Linked DNA regions of Cricetulus griseus. The protein of the gene in region 7 interacts with the protein of the main gene of each other region in a pairwise test. Links are inferred from orthologs where the notes say so. Each region holds a gene or a part of one and is shown on either strand. Other genes may lie near its edges. The genes, in order: Ubqln1, Suv39h2, Lnx1, Snrpb2, Mettl17, Mcm7 and Pnma1.

Region 1 (4,169 bases), on a different chromosome or scaffold from region 7:
CGTCTCGTACCTAGACATAGGCCTTGTAAACGCTTCCTGTCGCTGAACAATGCTGGCAGGCACTAAGTGATATCCACCGATACCTCGTCTTGCAATTTACACCGCCGCCGCAACTCTGACCCAGATTTCAAAGGGCTCTGCTAAGACGTGTTTATGCAACAGCAGTTAATCACGGAAAAGGGTTCGATGGCCTAAGAGCAAAAATATGGGATGTCTTTGCGTATTTGGGTCACGGTGCTCTGTCAGCGCTCACCTTGGTGCAGCACCAGCTAGTGTGCCAAGTGCCACAATGTATCGCAAGTTATGGATGGCGTGGGGGTCACGGCTGAAACGGAAATAACTTAACTGGACCTACGTTCTCCACTGGGGTTACCCCGGAGGGCACCTCGGGCCTGGGGGGGGGGGGGCGCAGTAACTTTGGACCGCGTCCTGGAGGCGCACACGAGCCCCAGGCTGCAGCCCACCCGTGGAGCGGCCCGCCCTGGGCACCCGCGTCTGCCGCGCACAGCGTGGAAGGCGGAGCAGGGCGGCCGTGTGTCCGGCCTGGCTCCGGGGACGGGGCCGCGGCCTCCCTGCACCCACGCCTGCGGGCTGTGGGCCCCGCGCTGGCGCTGGCGCTGGCGCTGCCCCGCGTCCGTTCCCGTCTCCGCGCCCGCCCGCGGTGGCGCAGCTCCAGCGGGGCCCAGAGCCGGGCGGGCGGCCCCAGCCCCTTCCGCCCGGGCACACGCTGCGCTCCTCAGAACCAAGTGCCCGCGCGGGCCGCCGGCCACCGGGGCCGGGTCGGGGGACACCGGGAGCGCAGGCCCAGCGGGCCAGGCCGCTTCCAGCAAGTTCGCCGCCGGCCGTGACGTCATTTCAGGGCGCCGCGGCGGCGCCCCGCAGAGACCCCGGGGAGCGGCTCCCGACGCAGCGGGGGCGATGAAGCGAACCGAGTTAACTCGCTGTCCCCTTCCCCCTGCCGCCGCCGCGGCTGCCTTGGAGCCGGAGGAGCCCGCGCCCCTCGTCAGCCCGGCGGCGGCGCGCGGCGGCGGCAGGCGTGAGGCGGGCGAGGACTCGGCTTCCCGGCGTGCCCCGCGCCCCTGAGTCGGCGCGGCGGCCAGCGCGTTACCCAGCGTGCCCTGCGCGGCGCCGGCGACGGACGTGGGGGAGGTGCGGGAGGAGGAAGCGGCGGCGGCGGCGGCGGCGCGGCGACGCGGAGACGGCAGCCGAGCCATCGATCGCCCGCCCGGGCCCGCACCGCACCGCACCGCACCGCAGCCCGTGCCCGCGCGCCCTCGGCGGCCCCGCCGCAGCCCGTGCCCGCTCCGCTCCGCCGCGCCGCGCCGAGCCGGCCGCAGCCCGCAGGGTCCCGGTCGCCTGAGTCACCGCCATGGCCGAGAGCGCCGAGAGCGGCGGCCCCCCGGGCGCGCAGGACGCAGCCGCGGCCGACGGCGGCCCCGCGGAGCCCAAGATCATGAAGGTCACGGTGAAGACGCCCAAGGAGAAGGAGGAGTTCGCTGTGCCCGAGGACAGCTCGGTCCAGCAGGTGAGGCCCCGGGGCGCCGGGGCGCCGGGGCGGGGAGGGCGGCCGGGCCCGGCCCTGCGGGGCTCTGCGGGGCTCTGCGGGGCCGGGGGAGGGCGAGCGGCGGCCGCCGAGCTCCGGGCCTCGGCTCCTGACAAAGGAGCGGGCGGGCAGGGCGCGGGCGGCGCTCGCTCGGCCTCTGTGGCCCGGCTGGCGGGGCGGCGGGGCGGTGAGGTGAGGCGGGCGGGGCCCGGTGGGGGTCATTGTTTCACCTGCCGGCGAATCGCAGAGATTTGGGGGTGAGGAGCACGTGCAGGCTGCGTTCTGTGTTGTGTGTCCCCCCCACACCTTTCAGCCTTTTATTATATATACGCTATTATATATATACATATATATTTAAAATTGTGACGTGGAGATCGCTTTCAGTCAGCCTGGTGATAAGCTCACGCCCGAGGGAGAAAAGTCAAAGACTTTGATTCACGGACGACTCGCTGTTTCTGTCTCAATAACCTTCGTCATCGCCCAGCCGCTCGCCCGCTCGCCGGCTCGCCCGCCCGTCACGGGGCAGGTTATTGTTCGACTCCAGGGGGACGAGAGCCATACCTACCTGCCGGGGTGTTAGGTGGTTGCCGCCGGACGCAAGAAAACAGAATTGGTGTTAACGGGGAGTCTTACTAAACAAATAATCGCTTTAAATCCCGTTCAGGGAAAGCAAATTTTGCAGCTAATTAAGAGCCCCTGGTAAAAGTTAGCAGATTTATCTGTTTAGCACGTTCTAGAGCACTCGGATTGTTGACAGTCTCAACATCGTGGACGGTTTTGTGCGAGGACGCAATTAACAGGCACTGGAATGTGCCTTTAGGTTCTCTGAACGTTTATCTAGTTCCAAAGGTGAAGTCGTTTTTTTTTTTTTTTTTTGTTTTTGTTTTTTTTTTGTGAAACAGGAGGGTGTGTGGCATCAGCTGAGGGAACTACTGTTGACTGAATCACCATTCCTTGTTAACGCTGCTGTAAAAGGTTGAACGTCTTTGTGTTTTCCAGCATGTGTGTGCCTCACCCACGATTGACATTTTCCTGCACTTGCTGTGTTATGCGTCCCTTATTTCTAAAATACATTTTTAAGGTGTAAATACCGATATCGGTATCACCTTACAAGGCACGTAAGCCGTGTGCGTGTTAGTTAACTTGAAAACCACTGTTGTGGAAATTTATTCCACATAAATTTGATGTGCACGTGGGTGCCTTAGCCAGTTTTCACAAACCCATCTACACCTGTGCCAGCCAAGCACACAACTAGGTGTGGCCTGTTAGAGCTGACTTGAAAGCTTTTGTCTCACCTTCTCTTTAAAGAAGTCACTCTTTGTCACCCCCGTGGGGATTTTTTTTTCCCCCACCAGAGATTGATTTTGCCTGTCCAGAAGTTCACATACGCAGAGTTGTATATAATGAAATCTTTTGGGAAAGACTTTTTTTCTTTCCCTCTTCAGCATATTTTTGAGATTCATCCTTGTGAATGTTTGTACCCCTCCCACCCCAGATGTTTGCATACTAGGCACAGGCTCCACTCTACCACTGACCCATGTCCCCAGCTCAGTACCTAACTGCTCTGTGGTTTTCCATAGCATGCATATGCCACAATCTACTGTCCAGGGTCTTTCTCAATTGTAGTTGCTGTGAACAGTCGCATATAAATCATTTTGACAATATATGCCTTTATCTGCATTAGAATGCTTCTGTTTACTTTTTGAGTTTTGTTGTGGTGCTGTTTTGGTTTTTCAAGACAAGAGTTTCTCTGTGAAACAGCCTTGGGTGTCCTGGAACTCTATAGTCCAGCTCAGAGATCCACTTGCCTCTGCCTCCCTAGTGCTGGGATTAAAGGCCTGTGCCAGCATGCCCTGCTATTTTGTTTGTTTTATTTTGAGACAGTGTTTCATTATGTAGCCCCAGCTGTCCTGGAACTTGCTTTGTAGACCAGGCTGACTTGGATCTCACAAGTGCTGGGATGGATTGAGGGCTTGCGCCACCTCATCTGGCCAGTTCTGTTTAGTTTTATAAGACACAACCAACAGCATATGGGTGTGTATTTCTCTTGTTCTGTATCCTTGCTAATATTTGCTATGTACAAGGTTTTTTTGTTTGTTTGTTTTTATTTTTTATTGTAGCTGTTTAATGAATGTGTAGCGATAATAAATCATGAAGCTCTTGAGTCTAAGATTCCCAGCTTAAATTTCCATCCTGACAGCTTCCCCATTTTATTTCAGGACTTTAGAAATATAATAAATGAAAAAATTATTTATGTGAAGATTTGTAAGATTTTTTTTTAAAGAGTGACACTAAAGTTTTAAATTCCGTAGAAGTTTATATTTCACTATGCTGTAACTAAAAATGATTTAATGGGTAAAAGTAAAACCTTCCTAAAGTAACTTACTCTGATATTGCTTAATGTTTAAAGCTTTCTCTGTTTTCTGTGGAAACAGAAAATGTGATGAAAGTTGAAAGCTTACCCCTGTACCACAAACGGAAAACACATCAAACTGCTGAGTGAGTCAGGGGAGCAGACTTAGAAACATGTACAAAAAAAATATAAAACTATTTGTAGCACAAGACAAGGTCTACCATTTTGTAACTTAATTTTTCTTATAGAATTTAGTAGGTTTGATATTTACTA
Region 2 (4,215 bases), on a different chromosome or scaffold from region 7:
AAGCAGGGATAGAGACAGAGTGCCTTTAGAGGCCTCTCAGAAGAAGTAACATTTGAGTTAAAACCTAGCTAATAAGAAGATAGCCACATGAAACGGAGGAGAGTTTGCCCTTTGGGCTAGACAGCGATTTCCAGGTTAAAGTGTTTATTTAGAGCAGGGAGTGTCGGCTCACACCTGTGGCCCCAGCACACCAAGGTGGAAGCAAGACCAGGAAGTCAAGGTGATTCCCACATACAAAGCAAGTTTGAGCCCTGTCCCCAAAAAGACTCCAAGAGGACACTGTTTCCTTTCTTGTTTAGCAGGTGCCTGGCACATAGGAGATACACATGAAAATATTTTTGAATATGCCTATTATATTTGAATTGTGTGTGTTGTATTTGAATTGTGTAAGTATAATAGTTGAGTATATGAAAATTTGAAAAGCCATAGAACATAGTGGGCAAAAGGGAGAATGGTTCAAAGCAAGTGAGAAAAACAGACTTCTAATCACTGGTGGTCTCATAGGCACCGGAAGATGTGCTATGCGGTGAAGTACTTAAAGTTGGAGAAGGGTTATGTTTCACTTTATGTTTTAAAGCTACTTTAGCTCCATGGGAAGTGGCTACAAGGGGAGCAATAGCAGAGGTCAAAGCAGTTAGACTTCTTTGACTGAGAAATGATGGTGTGGATAACAGTAATAGCAATGAAAATAGAGAGGAGACAGGCAGTGTGCGTTTGCTATTAGCACTGACGTGACTTACCAATGGAATTACAGAAGGCTTTTGTGTATAATGGTTCCCTTACAACTTTCAAGATTCACAATGGTGTGAAAATGATAAGTGGCCCAATTCTCCCTGAGTGTAAATGGCTAAAAACTGAGCAAAGCTTAAAGCTGTTAAGGAGGATAAAGTAAGTCCTAGTTGTAAATGTACCTTGTAAGTTTGCTTTAATTAAGCTCAGCTGTTGGCTGGGTTGGTTTTATTTTGACAACTCTCAGCGCCTTCCTTTGGATCCAGCTGCTGCACGGCCATATCAACTCAGCAGACTCTCCTTGTGTGATCCAAACAGACCACTTAGATCCAAAGTGAGGCCACCTGCATCCAATTTTGAGATCCTGCTCTGCAGAGGCGGGGAGTGAAAGGAAAAGCTTGCTTGGGTTCAAGCGCTAAGGAACAAGAGTAGGAAAGTAGCTATCTGTGCACTCTAACCCACACAGCACATTTTGCATCTTATAACGTGCGTGCCATGCCTTTGGGACGAGACTCAGAGCACCGAACAGGGAGGGAATCCTGGCATGCAGCCTTTAGAGTCAAAGCGAGGACCATACCAGGAGGGGCGGGGCCTGTCGGCAGGAGCTAGTTGTGACCCCGCCCCTTTGTGCCCCCCCCAACGTGCCGCGCATGCGCAGTGGCTACTACGGCTGGGGTCAACCTCCACTGACGTCAGGACGCCACACTGCTTCCAGCCTCCCATCTCTGGAGTCCCTCGCGGGCCGGGGCGGGGCGTCTGGCCAGCTGAGCTCTTCGGGCTGACCGCGCCAGTTTGAATGAAAGCTCCGCAAGATGGCGGCGGCCGGAGCCGAGGCACCGAGAGGTGAGACTGGAGAGCGGTGTCACCGGCCGCCAGGGCCGTTCCCGAGGCCCGAGCCCAGCCGGACGGCGGCGATGTGGGCGGGACGCCGCCGAGCGGACACCCCGAGCGCCGTACGCTGGCGGCGGGCTACGGGCCCGGGACGCGCCGGCTCCGTGCGAGCGTGGTTCCGAAAGTCCCGCGGGCCCGGGTCCTCGGTGGCGAGTGTGCGCGCCCCGCCTCTCTGAAGGGTGAGCCGGGAAGCACGCGCGCCGCTGCCCTAGCGGTCGCCACCTTCGCGCGGTGGGAGCCGGGCTGAGGTGCGCTGCCCGCGTACGAGCCGGCCTGGCACCGCTGCGAAGTGTCTCCCCTCGAAAGTAGATGTCTGCACACACAGCCCTGAGCTCCTGGAAACTTTGGGGGGGCCCGGCTGGAACTTGTGGGTTATTTATGTGGGTGTGCGGGGGGGCGGCGTGTGTGTTGAAAGTAAAGCATTCTGGAGTGAAAAAAAAAAAAAAAGGTTGTTCTCCAGCTAGCTTTTTCCTCTGCTCCACTCAGATGGTGACACTTTATTATCCCCGTCACTCGACTTCCTTGAGGTGTTGCGGGGGTGGGGTGTGGTGGAAGGATTTTATAAGCGGGATGTCATAAACTAATCCGGACAATGAAACTTTTTTTTCTCCATCATTATAGGCTGTGGAATTTTGTAAACCAAGGGTTTGCAGATTAAAAAAGAAAAAAAAAATCCCGAAATGCTCAAAATGTAGCATTTCTGTTGAGAGATGCGTCGTACTTACACATAATGGTCGTCATTATGACATTTTCATTCGAATACGTGTGTTACCGAATTCAACACCACTCTCCGCTATAGGGTTGTGTTTTTGGATTCTCAACTAGGAGTAAAAAATTTAAAACAAACACCTTGGGTACATAATAACCAACAGGTCTCTCCTTTACAGATGATTAACATAAGGAGATTAGCCTTACACAAAACAGCCTTAAGATTTTTGGATGGAAGCGATTAAGAAGACGGTTTTTATACCTGTCCTACCCCCAAACCACCACACCTAAACAATGTATTTTGGCAAATTTGAGGAAAAGACTTTGCCTTTTACGAGTGCCAGAAATACGAGTCTTTTCCATTGATTGGAGTGGGGAAATGATGCTTAACAATTTCCTTTAATGAAGTCCTAACGGGGGAGGATGATGAAGGGATGTGGGGAAGTTAAAACAGTCAGGTTCTCCTGTCCCTGAAATCTACCTCAAAACGTTTGCCTACTACCTTGAAGAACTATTAAATACAGCATGATGAACTAATGATACATTTTGTTTGGTCACTTCTTTTCACCACTCTCACTTTTTCTTTTCTTTTCTTTTCTTTTCTTTTTTTTTTTTTCAGTGAATGTGATACCCAGAAAGCTTGAGCCCTTCCTAAAGTTGTGTAGCTAGGTGGCCCACCAACAAGTAGGGTGGAGGGCTTTTGATCATCTAGTATTAGATTCCCCTATTAGACGTACAGTGAAGTTTTACATTTTCTAGACATCATTTGTGCAGTTATATTTTAAATTTGGGATGGAACACAGTTCATTTCTGGCCTGTGTAAGGTTATTGTTAGTATGTCTGACTTTCTTGTTTATGGATAATTTACTTTGAGTTTTCTGTTTTGTAACTGCTTGCTGGCTTTAAACAGTCCAGGAAATGGCATTATAAAGCCCAATATACAATATAAAATAGAAAAGTAGATGTTTCTATTTTATGCATGTTGATAATACATTTCACCATGGGCAAAATAAATGAGACTTGTGGTATTCCTGAAATGGGCAAAGTAGGATATGGATTTAACTACAGAACTATATTTCAGATTTAAAATCTTACTGTGTGATTAAAAGAAGCAAAGGTTACTTTTAAATTGTGATTGTTTTAGAATATATTTTAGATACATTTCTAATAATATGTCTTAGCTGTTTATTAAGAGAACAGTTACATTCTGTGTAGAATATAATGGAACAGTAAAAAAAATTTAGCTCTTTTCATTTTTGCATTTATAGTAATCTTAAGTAAACTTAGACATGAAATATTTTAAGTGGCCAAGCAAGAATTAGCCTTTGCCAATAGAACAATAGGATAGAAGTTCAATTCATCAAAAGTAGATCTTTATCACGTAACTTTTTTCTCAAACACACATAATTGGCTTCTTGTCATGTTCGTTTCTTACTATAAAATTGTCAGTTGGGAAGTTTTTAAGTTTTTGTTTCATCCTAGTAGCTATTTTATTAGTAAAGAATTCTATTTTCTTATTGTAGCCTGGTGTGTGCCTTGCCTAGTTTCACTTGATACTCTTCAGGAATTATGTAGAAAAGAAAAGCTCACATGTAAATCGATTGGAATCACCAAAAGGAATCTAAACAATTATGAGGTGGAGTACTTGTGTGACTACAAGGTAGTAAAGGTAAGGCAATATCTAGCCCCTTGAAAGAGACCTATTCACACTGCAGTATTTCATGTTTCTCTAGCATAAAAATAGACTTAAGAATAAACAAAGCTCTTCTTTCTGTTTAAGGTTGTAAGTCATAGACTTTTGTGCATTGTCATCATTTTTGTTGAATAACACTGAGGGATTATGAAGTATAAAGTGCTCTTGCATTAGAATATTTAGGGTATTTATAT
Region 3 (3,500 bases), on a different chromosome or scaffold from region 7:
ACAGAAGGAGACTTGGTTAAAATATGACATACATTTGACTTAGGCTGGAAATCTGGTCCTTTATGGACAGGTTGCAAGCTGGGATTTAAACACACCCCCGACACCTTCCCCACTCCTGCTTGGATAGGAGACACCTGTTACCTCCCAAGTATGAAAATAGGACCTTGGCCTTTTAGCTTCATGAGTAGCACTTCTTGAAATGACAAAGTCCAGAGATAGCCCTTAGAGACATTAAAGTATACAGCTTTCCTAAGAAATAGCCTTTTGCAGGAGCTGCAGACACACTTGGCTGGGCCTCACCTTAGAAGCCATGTTCCTCTCCCCTGGGCCTGGGGACCACCGGCCATTGCTGATCTGGCCAGCTTCTAGAAAGATGTCTGGGCTGGGCTGTCGAACCTGGCGGGACACGATGAGATGAACACGTCTTTCACTGGCCTGGACAAGAGGACATCAAATTAGCCACTTCACAGACCTGGCTCCAGGGCCTTACCAGAGTACCCCTTTCATTTCTACTTTTAAATTTAATGGAAGAATAAAGTGTCAAGCATTTCTTTTCTTAGGCAGTGCCAGAGACTGAGCCCAGGGTCTCTGAGCAGGCTAGATAAAGTACTTGGTCATTGAGTTCTACCCCAACCCCTATAGATTTCTTCATTTGAAAAAGTGTAGTCAAAGATGGAAGGATATATATTTGAAAACAGATTTATTTTGTTCTTAATTATGTGTAGGTGTGCATGTATGCATGTATTATGTGGGCATGTACATGTGAGTGCAGTTGTCCTCTGAGACCAGAAAAGGGTATTGGATTTCCCTGAAGCTGGTGTACAGGTGGTTATAAGTCACAGGGTGTGGTGGCTGGGAATGGAACTCAGGTCCTTGGCAAGAACAGTGTGCACACTTAATCACCCATCCATCTCTCCAGCCCCCACTCTAGATTTTCTCATGTCAGTGCCCAGCTTCTACTGTGGCAAAAGCATAAACTATTTTCTTTAACTTGAAACCAGAGGGGTAAACATCGCTTCAAGGCAAAAACCTAAGAAAGGCCTGACTCACGCAAGCTTTTGAAGAGACACCATCAGGTCTTGCTAATGTACGTTTAGTGGCAAGCTCAGCTGCAGACAATCATGGCTGGAAGTCTTGCTGAATAGAGCAAGATGCATGGTGTGAAGTACACTACATCGATTCTAGCTCAATGGTCAGCAGTAAAGAGAAGCGGTTAGAGGCAGCAACCCTGACACTATAGAAATGAAAATACTGTGTCTGCAATCTTAGAGAGTCAGGCATTGAACCTTTGGAATGCAGGGATGACATTCAGACTAAAGCCATTACCTTGACCATTTTTAGTGACTATCACTAATTCTGATCCTTATGCACACTGGTACTTAGGCAGAAGATTTGGAATAGTAAATGTATTGCTTATTGGGAAGGTTCATTCCATGCAGTAAGTTACTCACTAGCTCTCCACCACAGGTCAGTTTCTCATATCCCTGACTGTGGGTGTCAGAAGCCAGACATGCCAAACCCCAAGGTTTCAGATCTGCAGGGCATACAGACAAGACCCTAGGCCTGAGGATCTCATAGGAACAAGGCTGATTACTGAAACTGAAATGGCAAGTGGATCCTCCCATCACTTTAGTGAAAAGTGGTGATGGAAGAGTCATGGCTCAATTTGGTTAGAAAGGTACCTGGGAAAAAGGTTTGGGAACCAAGAAGATGGAAAAATGTAAGGTCTGATAGTTGGCCTCGTTATTCCAGCTCTTGACTACTGACTGCAGTGGAAACAGACACAGATGAGCCTGTCTCTCCTGCATGGGCATGGGGTCATGGAGAAGAAAGATCATAAAAGAAAGACCAGGTAGTACCTGCTTGTCTCCATTAGCTCAGACAGTGGGAATCAAGATGTTTGCTTTTCTCTGGCTATGGTTTGAGTGTATGTATTTCCCTCATGTGTGGAAATCCTAACCCATGAGTGTTGGGAATCTCTGCTCCAGTTTCATTCCTCCCATTCCAGACCCAGCCCCTCAGAAAGCCCACCAAGGGTCAGCTCCTCCCCTGGGGCTGCTCATTACCACGCCTACAGGGTATTTAAGACCTTGTCACCCTACCTGCCATGTGATTTGTCTCCTGCCTTTTTGAGAGTCACCTGGGTGTTGCTTTGCTCTGTTTATTAAAACCTGATCTTATTAATTCAGTTTGATTTGGCTTATTGCATTGGCAGAGAATACCCAATAACTGGGGATCCAATACTTATCACTAAGTCATTTGGGGATGGAGATGGTTCTGTGGATAAAGGACCTACTGAACAAGCATGAGTACCATGTAAAGATGGAAGAGGTAGAAAGGGTCTGTAATTCTGGTGTCCCTATGATGAGGTGAAAAGCAGAGACAAGAGAAGCTGGCTGGCACATCGAATAGCAAACAATAAGAAACTTTCAAACAGTGTGGAAGGTAAGGACCAATACTCTAGGTTGTTCTCTGACCTCCACATGCCTCCTGTGGCATGACCATACCCACACTCACACACATGAATGCATGCATCACACACAGAGGTTTAAATGAGAGGAGGCATTTCCAGATACTGAGCCTGCCCATATCTTGATGGTTGGGATTGTAAGAAATGCATTTCTGTTGTTCATATTAATAAGGCAATCTGTTTATGGAACTTTGTTTCCATAGCAGTCCACGGAGACTAAGAAACTACTACTCTCACCTTTGTTTCCAGAGCACATAACTCCCTCTTCCCCTCAGGAACTAGGGCCTTAAGAACCAAGAACTCCGCCAATGCAGTTGGATCCTCACATTTGTCCAGCACTGACCAGCCCAAACCTTCCTTACAATGTTATCTCTGTTCAAAGGTTCTCTTGAAACTTGGGGGTCATCAGGTGGGTGGTTATAAATTAGACTAATTTTTAATCCAATTGTTGGGTATAGTAAGAATATTATAAATATCACAATGGATGGTCAGCTAGGTGAAATGTTCATTCCGTATTCATGGCAGAAAATGCTATCAAACAGCCCCACAGAGGAAGCTTGAATTTAGCCTGTTTTCCTTTATGCATAGCCCTAACTAATCCAGTCAGTGCTTGTGTGCCTTTCCTTTGCTAGTCTATCTTGAATTCCCTGGGGTCCCTTACCACATCTGAAGCTTGCATCAGAACAGAACATACACGAGTCTCCACATGTACTTAGGCACACACACACACAGAGCTCACAGGTAACACACCATGAAGAAAAGCTAACTCTGTTCAATTCCTGGAAGAGAGTGTTGCAGTAATTGTGCCTCTTCTCTGGATTGCAAGTTTCACTAAAAGGTTATCTTCAAGAACTCGGTGAAGCAGAACTCATGGGAAGATAAGTAACAATGAACATTTAGGTCAAAACCTCAATCACAGAACCCAAATTTTCTCTCTTATCTTTGGGGAAACTCCACTGTTGAGAAGGCTGTTGGCAGAGCTTCAGCTCTGAGCTGGGATTGTGTCCTGTCCGTCTTGGACAGTGAGCAG
Region 4 (3,500 bases), on a different chromosome or scaffold from region 7:
GCCTGCCCATCATTTTCAAATTCTACAAATGCAATGTCATGCCTCCCAGGTACCAAGCGAACTTCCTTGAAACCAGGGAACCTAGAAAAAACAAAAGCAATAAACACAGGCAAATGTAGAATAAATTTGTTGAACAACTTGCTATTGGTCTAGGAAAACTAATTACATTCAATCAAGAATCCCAAGTAGGATGGAGGCACCTGACATAAAATTGTACCATCAAGGAAATGCAAGAGTCCACACTAATTCCACAACTGTCAGTATGTCAAAGGTTTCCTGTTTTACCCATTTATTAGAATAACTCCAACAGAGAAAATCTATCCTTTTATTCGTTAAGCTTAGAGCTTAACTTAGGCTCCAATCCATGATTAGTACCAGACTAAATCAATGACCCTACAGAGAACTACTGCTGTGGGGTGACAAATGAACTCAGTCCATAGAAGCACTATTTGTCCTGTTAGAAGGCTACTACAAACAGATCTGTTTAGTAAAGAACTTACTGATTGAACAGCATGGATAACATCATCTCATTCGTCTCTTCTGGTAAATTATTAAGGAATAGGATGTAGTTTGGAGGATAATCAGGGACCTATTAGAAACAAAAGGCAAAATTAGCTTGTGAATATAAACTGTGCTGTGAAGTATTTAGCTGTGAGAAAAAATGAAAACTTCTTCAGAGAACTACATTGCAGCCTATATGCGCCTGTGAAATCTTAACACACTAAAACAAAAGCTAAAAACAATGACGCCAGAGATACAGATTAAAAACCTAACAATAGGGAAGCCAACATTCAAGTTAGGATACCCCAAGTATGGAAGGTTATGATTCTGTGAAAACAGTATTTATAGGTGAAGCACCAGTGCTAACTGGGGAATTCTGTGACCTGGAATACAGAATTCAAAGTCTAAAAACTGGAAAAGGCAGCAACATAGACCTCCTCAGCTCATCATTCTAAACTGAAACATTACTATTGACAATCACACCCTGCTGGCATCTACTCTGTGTGTTCCTGTGCATGCATGTACACAGTAAATGGCATGTACTTTGTCTACTAATATAAAACAAACATAACTGAGCAGAATATTAGACATTAAGTCACATGCTTGGCACCCCATCCTGAGTCTACAGGGAGTGTATAAAAGACTTACATATAAGAAGAAACTCTGTCTACTTGCTAATTACATGGACAGAAAAGATCAAGTGTAAAAAATAATTATTGAACAGCTCAAGATAGAGAATTAAGTGCTGGTATTTGTAAATTGACTACAAGTTCTGAAAGAGTTCAAGGAATAGAAAGAAAGATCATAAAAGATCAAGTATGGTGACAACTATCTGTAATCCCAGCACTCAGGAGGCTGAGACAAGAGGATTGAGAGGTTTGAGAGCAGAATCAAGACTGTCTCAGAGGGGCTAAGGGGTATTGGACAGCTCAGTGGTATAGCATTTGCCTAGCATAGGCTAGGCCCAGGAGTCAGTCACCAACACCAAAGGAGAGGAAAAAATCAAACGCACACAACTGTAATACTGAGAAGTTGTGGACACGTCAGACTGTATAATTTAGACTCTACTGAAAGCAGAAAACTTAAACACCATTGCCCACTATGAATCTGAGAAAGACAGGGCAGTGTCAGACACCTGGGGTGGAAACAGCCCCTCCCAAGGTCCTCTGACCACATGTCTGTGAAGTGCTGACAAGTGCCCGACCCAAACCAAAAGCCCTTTCTCAGGCCTTACACCCCCTGCCTTTTTGATCTTGTCCCCAATTCATGGAAAACAGAAATCAGGCCTGGTTTTGTTTTCTTCATCTTAGAGTAAGTTTCTTAAAGTGACAGGCAATTATGTCTTGTGAATGGATTTACTTGCTTTTGCAGACATGAACACTAATACTGCCATAATTTTTATGATCTTAAGGTAAGCACCCCATGAAGAAAAACATTACCTGAGGATTTGGTGCTGCGTTTCCTTGAGTATTAGCCGAATTTGGTGTTCCCTACAAAAAAGAAATTGGCATTAAGAAATGACTGAATTTCAGTCATGGTAAAAAGCAACTGCAATTTATAACATAAATCAACATTAAATTCACTGTAAAAGATACCTTATTCCATTTTACCTTAAGATGTCTTAAATTATTTACTTAGCTTGTAAATTGAAATGTATGTCTCTCAACTCTATAGACCACATCATAAACCTTAACATTTGAATTTTTATTTATTTATTTTGAGACAGGATTTTACTATGTAGTTCAGGTATCCTGGAATTCACTATTTAGACCAGGCTACCTGCCTCTGCCTCCCCAGTGCTGGGACTAAAGGTGTGTACCACCACACCTGGCTTTAACATTAAACTTTAAATGATGGAGAGACCAAGTGTGCTGTGTGGCTGAGGCAGGAGGGTCACAAGGGTGAACAGACTCCTCTAGGTTACAAGAGCTGAGATAGAGAAATAGAGATAAAGACAGAGAGAGTCTTACTTAAAAAAAAAAAAAAAAAAAAACCATAAGCATTATACAATCAAAATCACAGAATCAAAATGATTTAAATAATTAACTCAGAGGTAACTACTTTTTTGAATAATTTCACTTCTACTGGATTTCAATTTTTGCCTCTTGAATTGTTCAGAGGCTCTGAGTAAGATACTCATGATGAAGAGACTGCATATGATTTATAGGAAGAATTTAAGAAAAATACCAATAAGTAGGGTTTTAGATAAAGATGTCAAAAACAATATGTAAATCAGATTAGTACTGTTTATTGCAAATCTCTAAGTGTAAAGGCTGGTATTATAAATTGTTCCTTAAATATAAACCTAGAATTTTAGAATTTTGTTATCCCAGCTTCTTAAAACTTCATTCATCACTCCTCCATCTCTACAACTGGATTCCAGGAGTTCGGCTCAGTCAAGACCATGCTGGGAAAACCCACAGGAACAGTTGACCTTAGCTAGTGGGAATTCATGAACCTCAGTTTGACAGCTAGGGAACCAATATAGGACCAAACCAGGCCCCCTGAATGTGGGTGTCAGGTAGGAGGACTAGGCAGTCTATGGGGCCCCTGACAGTGGAACCAGGATGTATCCCTAGTGCACAAATGGACTTTGGGAGCCCATTCTCCATGGGGGGAAAGTCTCTTAGCCTAGACGCACAGGGGAGGGCCTAGGCCCTACCCCAAATGACTTGACAGATTTTTGATGGTCCCTCATGAAAGGCTTCACCCTCCCTGAGGAGTGGATGGGGGATGGGATGGGGGGGTCAATGGGGGGAATGGGAAGATGGGAGGCAGAGCAAACTTGGACTGATATGTAAAATAAGATTGTTCTAATTTAAATAAAATTTATACATATATGCATATGTATGTATGTATTTATGTATGTATGTATATATACACATATATAAAACTTCACCTTTAGCAGGGTGGTGGTGGTGGTGAAAGCATTTAATCCCAGCACTGGAGAGGCAGAAATCTCTGTGAGTTTGAGGTCAGTCTGGGCTACAGAGCCAGTT
Region 5 (2,210 bases), on a different chromosome or scaffold from region 7:
TTAGTGTAGGGAATAGATTTTACATGCCAATCAAAAATTTTTTGTCGACGGGCATTGGTGGCACACTCCTTTAATGCCAGCACTCAGGAGGCAGAGGCAGGTGATCTCTATGAGTTCGAGGCCAGCCTGGTCTCCAGAGCGAGTACCAGGATAGGCTCCAAAGCTACACAGAGAAACCCTGTCTTGAAGAAAGAAAAAAAAAAATTGTCTACAAGTCAGTTTTGTTTTTTTTTAATCATCTGCCTTTTATTTCAGAAGTTGTAAATGTACCAAGAACATAAAATAACACTGTTAGCTTATCTGTTTTAATGTAATGCCCTGATTCCCCAGGGGCGGGATTGAGAGCAGGTGGGTTTCTTAGAGGAATGACCGTGTCGGGACTGGAGAGATGACTGACTCAGAGGTTAAGAGCACTGGCTGCTCTTCCACTGGTCCTGAGTTCAATTCTCAGCAACCACATGGTGGCTCACAACCATCTATAGTAAGATTTGGTACCCTCTTCTAGCATGCCAAAACTGTATACATAATAAATAAATAAATCATTAAAAAAAAAAAGGAATGACTGTGTGTCATAAAAATTGGTGGTTTTCATCTTGCCATCTCAGGGCTGCTCACAGTACTTGGGGCCAGAGCCTCCGTGAATATGTGTGTGTGGACAGTTCAGCAGCCATGTTGGGTTTGGCTGAAAAGCTACTAAAAGGTGAGACCAAGCTCTAATCCAGGGATTTCCAAAAGTTGAGGGAGTTAGGAAAGAATTTTATTGGGATGTAGAGGAGAGAGTTATAAATTAAGATAATCGGCCAGGCGTTGGTGGCTCATGCCTTTAATCTCAGCACTCGGGAGGCAGAGGCAGGCAGATCTCTGTGAGTTCGAGGCCAGCCTGGTCTCCAGATCGAGTGCCAGGATAGGCTCCAAAGCTACACAGAGAAACCCTGTCTCAAAAAGCCAAAATTAATTAATTAATTAATTGAGATAATCTGGGCTCCTTCCAGTATTACAGTGAGACAATATTAGAGGCCTTTATGGGACTCTGGTTGGTTGGATGGGATTAGTAGGCCACGTTTTTAATTACAGTCCTGCACCTCTCAGCTGGGGTTATCTGAGGAATGTCTCTTCACTGAGTGTAAACTTTGGCTATAAAGTTTATGTTCTGTCTTTGCTGCCACATCTTTCTTCCGTAGGTGGTTCAGAATCAGGGAAGCCCTGTATCCCAGGTGTCTTTTTCAGACAGTTTCTACCTGTGTCACCCAAGGCAAGTAGCAAGTAAGTTATTCTCAGATCTAGTGTGGCAGGTGGACAGCTGTGGTTTCAGCCTTGAAACCCACCATTGTGTGTTAGAAGACAAAAGAAGCAATAGAAGACATTTAAGACACCCATAATCTCAGGACTCAGGAGCTGAGGCAGGAGGATTACCATTGGTTCAGGTTCAACCTGGAATACATAATGAGATATCTTGGGGTCAGGAGGATTTAGAGGCTAGGAATTTGTTGTGCTTTTGGATAGGGCGATGTCAGATCTGTTTGTCCCTTATCTTGGTCCTCAGGTCCAGTTTGATGTGGTCGTGTCAGCCTTCGCCCTCAGTGAACTACCCAGCAAGGCTGACCGAGTTGAGGTAGTTCGGAACTTGTGGCGTAAGACAAGCCATTTTCTGGTGAGTTGAAATCCTTTCCCCCTCAAGTTTTAAAGCAGCTTTGTGGTTCTGTGCCTTGTCCTCTGGTTATCACATAGTGTTTTTTCTCTTTTATAGCTCTTTGCACTTCCTCAGGGTATCCACCTTTCACACAATGCCCACTTCCCTGCCAGTGTCCTGACAGCGCTACTGGCATTTGCTTTGGGATTCAGAGCGCCTGCTTATTTCCTCTGTTTGTAAACAGGTGTTGGTGGAGAACGGAACAAAAGCTGGGCACCATCTTCTCATGGATGCCAGGAACCTGGTCCTTCAGGTGAGGTTCCTTGTCCTCAGTCCTTCCCCTTTCTGTCGTAAGGTTACTGTTACTGCCTTGGAGCTGGTGGCTGTCCCACATCTGTAATGGTGACTCATGATACAGCAAAGTGGTTGGCAAATGAGAGTTTCTAGGTCAAACCCCCAGCACAGTACCTGTTGCCCTGGGAGCTATGCATATTCATGTCTTGACAGAGCTCACCCTGCAGACTGCAGTTAAGCACCTCAGAGATGGGTGCTGCTCACTCCTTTCAAAAACTTACTTTGC
Region 6 (2,519 bases), on a different chromosome or scaffold from region 7:
AAAAAAAACTTCTGATGATGCCCTCTGCCTTGTATGGCTAGGCTACAAAGTTGAGACCTGGGTTCACTCCCTACCCCTACCTCATAAGCTTCATGTCCAAAGGTTCAAACTGGGCAGGGGGCTGCCGGCTGTGCTGGTGGACATAGGTGATGTGCTGGGCCAACCTAGAGAGAACACAGGCGAAACTAAGAGCTATATACCTTGAGGACCCCCCATCTTAGCCCTACCTCTTTGCCATAGCACAGCAGAGACAGGCCTCCCAGGAAAACCTTAGCATCTCAGCCCCAACCTTCCATCTCCCTAGGAACTGTGGAAAAATTGAGTGGCTTTCTGATTTTACCTTCCTCCCCCCAAAGCACTAAAACGGGCTGTCTCTATGGGTATTGTACTTTATTCACCGGAGGTCATTATCTCGGTCAGGCCGGTCCTGAATCAGCCATAAAAGGTCGAATCGGGAAAGCAGAGCAGCAGGAAGCTGTATGTTCTGCTCCAGGCTTCGGCGGGGGTTGTATCGCCCATAGGCAGGGTTGGCAGCAGCCAGGATAGAGCACCGGGCATTGAGTGTGGTGAGAATCCCTGCTTTGGCAATGGAGATGGTCTGTTGTTCCATGACCTCATGGATGGCTGTGCGGTCAGCTTCGGCCATTTTGTCAAACTCATCGATACAGCACACACCCTGGTCAGCCAGCACCAGGGCTCCACCCTCTAAGGTCAGTTCCCCACTCACAGAGTCTCTCAGTACAGCCGCTGTGAGCCCCACTCCAGAGGAGCCCCGGCCTGTTGTATACTGACCTGCAATGAGAAACAGCAGACTGTTGAAGAAAGGAACCACTGCCTCATGCCTTCAAGAGGCTTTAGTGTTTCAAACAAACACTAAGCTCTGTCCCTGCCCATACTCACTTCGGGGGGCCAGACGATCGATGTAAGATAGGAGCTGAGATTTGGCCACACCAGGGTCTCCCATAAGGCAGATGTGGATGTTTCCTGGAAAATGGGAAGAGCATTTGACATGAGACCCAGTTCCCCTCTCAAACTCCATATTATTCCTCTAAGACCACAGAGCCAAGTCATCAACTAGTGTTGATGTGACTGATCCCTTCTGACCCTCCTAACACTCCCCATCCCATCTCTGCTGCCCTTCTTACCCCTGATCTTCATGCCTTGAGGAGACTGGTCCACACCACCCACCAGGAGCAGCAACAGTGCTTTCTTCACATCCTCGTGCCCATAGATCTCTGGAGCAATAGAAGCTGCCAGCTTTTCATAGAAGTCCTCTTCTGCAAAAGTCAAGCCATAGCATTTTCTTCAGGACAAAAGCTAGGGTTACACTCAGCTATCAACCTGACTTTGTAGCCCCTCACCTGCAATCTGTTTTAGTTCCTCCCCGCTCAGCTCTCCAGCCTCAGCTGCATCATCCTCACTCTTAGTCATCTTCACAATCCGGTGGGCTTCCAGGAATGTTTCTGAGAGTAAACCCTGGGCAGAAGAATGGCTTCCCTTTAAACTGTCCATAACCAGAACGTCTAAGAACTTTTTCACAACCACAAGTTGCACGTCATTGGTTTTACTTTTCTAAAGGTGTGAAGAGAGTAAGCAGGTGGGCAAGGTGGAAAGGGAACTATTTCCTCATTTGAAAAAGCCCTCACCTGTGCCATCTGTTGGAACCCTGTACGCAGGACTGGCAAGAAGATACCAGTGACACTGACATGGTCACCAGGCAGGGCAGTCCTTGTATTCTCTCCTTGTAAAACCACTGTGATGCTACGAGGGATGTTTCCCACAGGAACTTGATCACTCTAGGCATTTTGGGGGACAGAACAGGGAACAAATGAGACAAGGAGAAAAGTGAGGCAGACAGGGAGCTGACCTGAATATGCACCAGAAGCCCATTCCATGGTTAAGACTCAGCCAGCCCAACTTAGAAGACTTCAGGAAGTTGAGTGCTTACCCTCATCCCAATATAACCAGAAAATTTCAATTAAATCACATTTTGACTTCCTGTCTAAAAGCATGAAAAATTCTTTTTTTTGTTGTTGTTGTTTGTTTTTTTGAAATAGGGTTTCTCTGTGGCTTTGGAGGCTGTCCTGGAACTCACTCATGTAGACCAGGCTGGTGTCAAACTCACAGAGATCCGCCTGTCTTGCCTCCCAAGTGCTGAGATTAAAGGTGTGCGCCACCACTGCCCGGCTGAAAAATTCCAGTTTAACCTCGATCGTATTGCACTATAAATGACTTCTCTTCCCTAGCTCTTCACTCATCGTTCTGCCAATTTCTAACCCACTGCAGGGCTCACATCGCCCAACTCACATGTTCTTGAATCTTCATTTCTTGGAATTTAATAAATTTGGAACCACGAGTCTGCAGGTAAAGCCGCCCTCCTGAGCGGTTGGTTTGGCACTCCTGGCTGGGACACATTATCAAAGGCATGAAGGTGGGAGACTGGATCTAGACAAGAAACAGGAAACAGGAAAGCAAAAGCCCCTTACAATCACAAGAATCATTTCTGCTCTGCTACAGGG
Region 7 (4,258 bases):
AAAGACTGTTACATATTAAATAGTGTACATATATATAAATATTACCTCTTTTGCTGTACAGTTGTGATAGACCAGACTGAAAATTTTATTTTTTGTGTGCTTTTTATAAAAAAATTAATACACTAAAGAGAATCTTGCTGTGATTGTAATGTACCTATGTAACTTATTTACTTTTGAATGTTCTGTATCTTAAGACCTTTTATTAAATAAAAATTTTAAAAAATTCACTGTTGAATGCCATATTCTTGGTTTTTCTTTTTCTTTTCTTTCCTTTTTTTTTTTTTTTTTTTTTTGAGACACGTTTTCTCTGTATTGTTTTGGAGGTTGTTCTGGAACTTGCTCTGAAGACCAGGCTGGCCTTGAACTCACAGAGATCCGCCTGCCTCTGCCTCCCGAGTGCTGGGATTAAAGGAGTTTGCCACCAATGCCCGGCGCCATATTCTTTTTTTTGTAACGATTTGTTTATTTTTATTTTATTTGCATTTGTGTTCTGTGTCTGCATGTGTATCAGTGTGAGGTTGTTAGATCTTTGGGAACTGGGGTTACCGACAGGTGTGAGCTGCCATGTGGGTTCGGGGAATTGAACCCAGGTCCTTTGGAATAGCAGCCAATGCTCCTAACCAGTGAGCCTTCTATCCAGCCCCCAATGCCATATCTTTATAGGGGTGGGGTTTGTGTGTTTATTTATTTATTTGATTTTTTGAGGCAGGGTTTCTCTGTGTAGTTTTGGAGCCTGGCCGGGAACTCAATTTATAGATCAGGTTTGCCTTGAACTCACAAAGCTCCTCCTGCCTCTGCCTCCCGAGTGCTGGGATTAACGGCATGGGCCACCAAGGCCCGCCTGATTTATAGGGATGTTTTTGCCAGCTGGGATTGACAGGCCTTGCTTGAAGAGAATTTACCCTACCTTTCTGAGCCTTAAGCATTCTCTTTTGTTATCCTGTATACTCAGTAAGATCAAGAAATGAAAGTGTTTGCAGTTTGCCTGGCTACAAAGAAGTAGCAGCAGCAGCATTTTGTTGGTTTTTTTTATATATATATATACAAAATTTAGGCAAGAAAGCATAGTAAGTCTCACAGGAACCTGGAGATGGCATTCTGTCTTTTGCTTTCCTGGGGAGGAGCAAGCAGCAGCTGTGGTGTGTGGTCAGGAGGTACGCAGAAGTCAGAGTGCTGAGTGTTTTCATGGGCTGCATAGTGAATGCATAAGCTGGATGAGCAACATGAGACAGACAAGTCTGTCGTGGTGGATGCGTATCAATAAGGCCAACTTAAATTCACAGCAAAATTAGATTAAGAAAAAAAGAAAACGATGCTTTGCAATATTTATTGTTAAGAAAGAAGCTGGGAAATACGTGTGTGTGTGTGTGCGCGCGCGCGCGCGCCATCACAAAATAGACTCCTCAACCCCTCGGTACCATAGCAACCGCCAGATCCTCTGGAGCTCGCGCATCTCCCGTCGTCATGGATACGGTTGCCACGGCGACACTGACGAGCGGACCGGCCCCGCCCTGCACTGCAGCTGCACGGCGGCGGCCGTTGCGGGAGCGCGCTGCTCTAGACGCTGAGCGGAGCTGCCTCCATCCGGCCTCCCGCCTTCCGCGCCTCCCTGAGGCCTCCGTCCCCGGTGCTCGCCTGCTGCCGCAGCCGCCGGACCCGAGTACCGCCTCTCCCGGCGTCTTCCCAGCCACTGCCTCGCGTGACCCTACGCCCGCGCCTACCGCCGGCCGGCCGGCCCGAGAGCGGCGGGGGGGAGCTGCCACACCCCGCGACCGCACCCGGCCGTCTCCCTCGTGAAGCTGAAGCCCACCGCCTTGCGCCAACCTTGCTTCTCCCCTGCCCGCCGTGAGGCCACGAATAGCTGCGGCCAGCCCGCACCTGCTCGGACCAAAGAGGGCGACATTCGATAGGCAGAGTGCCCCGAGGCACCTGACACTACTGACTTTGGGACCCGGAAGGGACGAGACTGGACTCCGGTGTCACTGGTAATTGTGGTTGCTTGAAGCTTGTCGCCCCCTGGCCTACCCGGGGGAGGGAGGCATGTTGTATTGTCCTAGGTCCTATAGCACTGCGAGCCAGTCCAGTCGGTGTCTGTAGAACTGGCACCCTTAATAGTGGGGCGAAATGGCTTTGACGCTCTTGGAAGACTGGTGCAGGGGAATGGATGTGAACTCTCAGAGAGCTCTGCTGGTCTGGGGGATCCCTGTGAACTGTGATGAGGCTGAAATCGAAGAGACCCTCCAAGCTGCCATGCCCCAAGTGCCCTACCGAGTACTGGGGAGAATGTTCTGGAGGGAAGAAAATGCGAAGGCAGCCTTGTTAGAGCTCACCGGGGAAGTGGATTACTCCCTGATCCCTAGAGAGATGCCAGGCAAAGGAGGGCTCTGGAAAGTGTTCTTTAAGCCCCCCACTTCTGATGCGGAGTTTCTGGAGAGGCTGCACCTCTTTCTAGCTAGGGAAGGGTGGACTGTGCAAGATGTTGCTCGTGTGCTTGGGTTTCAGAACCCTGCTCCCGCTCCAGGCCCAGAAATGCCAGCAGAGATGCTCAATTATATTTTGGATAATGTTATTCAACCTCTTGTTGAGTCCATATGGTATAAGAAGCTGACGCTATTCTCTGGGAGGGACATTCCCGGGCCTGGCGAGGAGACCTTTGATTCCTGGCTGGAGCACTCGAATGAGGTCATAGAAGAATGGCAGGTGTCTGATATAGAAAAGAGACGGCGGTTGATGGAGAGTTTGAGAGGCCCTGCTGCTGATGTCATTCGCATCCTCAAGACCAACAACCCAGCCATAACCACCGCGGAATGCCTGAAGGCTCTTGAGCAGGTGTTTGGGAGCGTGGAGAGCTCTAGAGATACACAGGTCAGATTTCTGAACACTTACCAGAACCCCGGGGAAAAGTTGTCATCTTACGTCATTCGTCTGGAGCCTCTGCTACAAAAGGTAGTGGAAAAGGGGGCCATTGATAAAGATAACGTGAACCAGGCTCGCCTGGAGCAGGTCATCGCCGGGGCCAACCACAGTGGGGCCATCCGAAGGCAATTGTGGCTGACTGGGGCTGCGGAACGACCGGCACCCAACCTCTTCCAGTTGCTGGTGCAGATTCGAGAGGAGGAAGCCAAGGAGGAGGAAGAGGAAGCTGAGGCAGCCCTTTTGCAGCTAGGCCTGGAGGGGCACTTCTGAGTCCCTGGATCAGTCTGGCTGCTTTTGTTATCCCTGTGCGGTTTTACAAGCCTTGCCTCTCATAGTAAAGACCTAGCCTCCTGTTTTTGTTTTGTTTTCTGGGGGATGGGATAGGGGAGTCAGGCCTGCGTATTTGTGTAGCAGTCACAGAATTGCGTGATTGGCCAGGGCTGCAACAGTAGAGGTGGTTCATACTGCCTAAAATGAATGCTTGATGCAAGCCCTCCTAGTGACATCTTTGACAGTTGTGAAAAATGTGAAGCTGAGACACTTCCTGTCAGGATGATTGTGAAAGTGCAAGCCTGCTTCACAGGCTGTATGGTACAGACTGACATTTGTTACTAATATTGTGGATAGTTTTACTGTACATTGTCCCTAATTTATATACATGGGAAGAATATGAGTCTGTTAGATGATACTGCTCATTTTGAAAATTCAGATTTCTCATTCCTCACGGCTCAACATCAGAACCAGTTTACCAGCAAAGTACTCTAGGATTAAAATTGGCAAGTTAGAAAAATGTGATTTTTATGAAGAGGCACAACCTACTTTTCATGGTGTAAGATACAAATATAAGTCAGGGGGAATTTCCATAAACAAGCTACATTTTCCCCACATGAATTATTTGTCATTTAATTATTGGTCATGTTGATGCTAAGTGTTCTAAATTTGAAGTTATCAAATAGATGTATACAAATAAAAATGTGAAAATTCTCATCTTGCTTTTCCTGACATGTATAAAAAATTTTCAGTGTAACTTAGCTCTGCACATTTTTTCTCTGCACATTTTTGCTCATGTCAAAAAATTTTTTAATCTCCTTGCTATGAGCTTAAATTGCAATATCACCTACACATTCTTGTGTTGCCGGTTCCTCGGTTATTGTTTTGTTTCTTTTTCACGGTCCCACTCGATAGCTAGCTGAGGCTGGCTTGGAATTCACTCTGTAGCCCAGGCTGGCCTCAAACTTGTAGCAATCCTCCTGCCTCCAGCCTCCACAGTGCTAGGGTTACAGGTGTGAGCCACCTCACCCAGCTATTTCTTTTAGATACAGTCTCACTATCTAGCTCCGGC

Evidence for each region.
Region 1: the proteins of Pnma1 (region 7) and Ubqln1 interact in binary tests that used the Homo sapiens proteins (3 or more experiments, as listed by UniProt). The two-hybrid records come from large-scale screens. The link is inferred for Cricetulus griseus from reciprocal best matches to the Homo sapiens genes PNMA1 and UBQLN1.
Region 2: the proteins of Pnma1 (region 7) and Suv39h2 interact in binary tests that used the Homo sapiens proteins (3 or more experiments, as listed by UniProt). The two-hybrid records come from large-scale screens. The link is inferred for Cricetulus griseus from reciprocal best matches to the Homo sapiens genes PNMA1 and SUV39H2.
Region 3: the proteins of Pnma1 (region 7) and Lnx1 interact in binary tests that used the Homo sapiens proteins (3 or more experiments, as listed by UniProt). The two-hybrid records come from large-scale screens. The link is inferred for Cricetulus griseus from reciprocal best matches to the Homo sapiens genes PNMA1 and LNX1.
Region 4: the proteins of Pnma1 (region 7) and Snrpb2 interact in binary tests that used the Homo sapiens proteins (3 or more experiments, as listed by UniProt). The two-hybrid records come from large-scale screens. The link is inferred for Cricetulus griseus from reciprocal best matches to the Homo sapiens genes PNMA1 and SNRPB2.
Region 5: the proteins of Pnma1 (region 7) and Mettl17 interact in binary tests that used the Homo sapiens proteins (3 or more experiments, as listed by UniProt). The link is inferred for Cricetulus griseus from reciprocal best matches to the Homo sapiens genes PNMA1 and METTL17.
Region 6: the proteins of Pnma1 (region 7) and Mcm7 interact in binary tests that used the Homo sapiens proteins (3 or more experiments, as listed by UniProt). The two-hybrid records come from large-scale screens. The link is inferred for Cricetulus griseus from reciprocal best matches to the Homo sapiens genes PNMA1 and MCM7.

Annotation. Positions count from the first base shown.
Region 1 is NC_048596.1:277,235,694-277,239,862, reverse strand, and holds the start of Ubqln1 (ubiquilin-1), read left to right. Parts: upstream 1-1,369; coding exon 1,370-1,525; intron 1,526-4,169. Other genes in the region: translation initiation factor IF-2-like, read right to left, coding at 342-1,079, 1,123-1,371. UniProt on the Homo sapiens protein: Plays an important role in the regulation of different protein degradation mechanisms and pathways including ubiquitin-proteasome system (UPS), autophagy and endoplasmic reticulum-associated protein degradation (ERAD) pathway.
Region 2 is NC_048596.1:220,775,487-220,779,701, reverse strand, and holds the start of Suv39h2 (histone-lysine N-methyltransferase SUV39H2), read left to right. Parts: upstream 1-1,415; 5' UTR 1,416-1,541; coding exon 1,542-1,572; intron 1,573-3,851; coding exon 3,852-3,997; intron 3,998-4,215. UniProt on the Homo sapiens protein: Histone methyltransferase that specifically trimethylates 'Lys-9' of histone H3 using monomethylated H3 'Lys-9' as substrate.
Region 3 is NW_023276807.1:141,124,660-141,128,159, forward strand, and holds part of Lnx1 (E3 ubiquitin-protein ligase LNX), read right to left. Parts: intron 436-3,500; coding exon 301-435; intron 1-300.
Region 4 is NC_048599.1:35,869,397-35,872,896, forward strand, and holds part of Snrpb2 (U2 small nuclear ribonucleoprotein B''), read right to left. Parts: intron 1,992-3,500; coding exon 1,941-1,991; intron 590-1,940; coding exon 501-589; intron 82-500; coding exon 1-81. UniProt on the Homo sapiens protein: Involved in pre-mRNA splicing as component of the spliceosome. Associated with sn-RNP U2, where it contributes to the binding of stem loop IV of U2 snRNA.
Region 5 is NW_023276807.1:206,958,790-206,960,999, forward strand, and holds part of Mettl17 (methyltransferase-like protein 17, mitochondrial), read left to right. Parts: intron 1-605; coding exon 606-700; intron 701-1,181; coding exon 1,182-1,252; intron 1,253-1,543; coding exon 1,544-1,651; intron 1,652-1,874; coding exon 1,875-1,943; intron 1,944-2,210. UniProt on the Homo sapiens protein: Mitochondrial ribosome (mitoribosome) assembly factor. Binds at the interface of the head and body domains of the mitochondrial small ribosomal subunit (mt-SSU), occluding the mRNA channel and preventing compaction of the head domain towards the body.
Region 6 is NC_048597.1:116,883,176-116,885,694, reverse strand, and holds part of Mcm7 (DNA replication licensing factor MCM7), read right to left. Parts: intron 2,446-2,519; coding exon 2,308-2,445; intron 1,797-2,307; coding exon 1,647-1,796; intron 1,477-1,646; coding exon 1,362-1,476; intron 1,278-1,361; coding exon 1,146-1,277; intron 985-1,145; coding exon 901-984; intron 793-900; coding exon 399-792; intron 165-398; coding exon 81-164; intron 1-80. UniProt on the Homo sapiens protein: Acts as a component of the MCM2-7 complex (MCM complex) which is the replicative helicase essential for 'once per cell cycle' DNA replication initiation and elongation in eukaryotic cells.
Region 7 is NC_048598.1:119,613,430-119,617,687, forward strand, and holds Pnma1 (paraneoplastic antigen Ma1), read left to right. Parts: upstream 1-1,458; 5' UTR 1,459-2,124; coding exon 2,125-3,186; 3' UTR 3,187-3,913; downstream 3,914-4,258.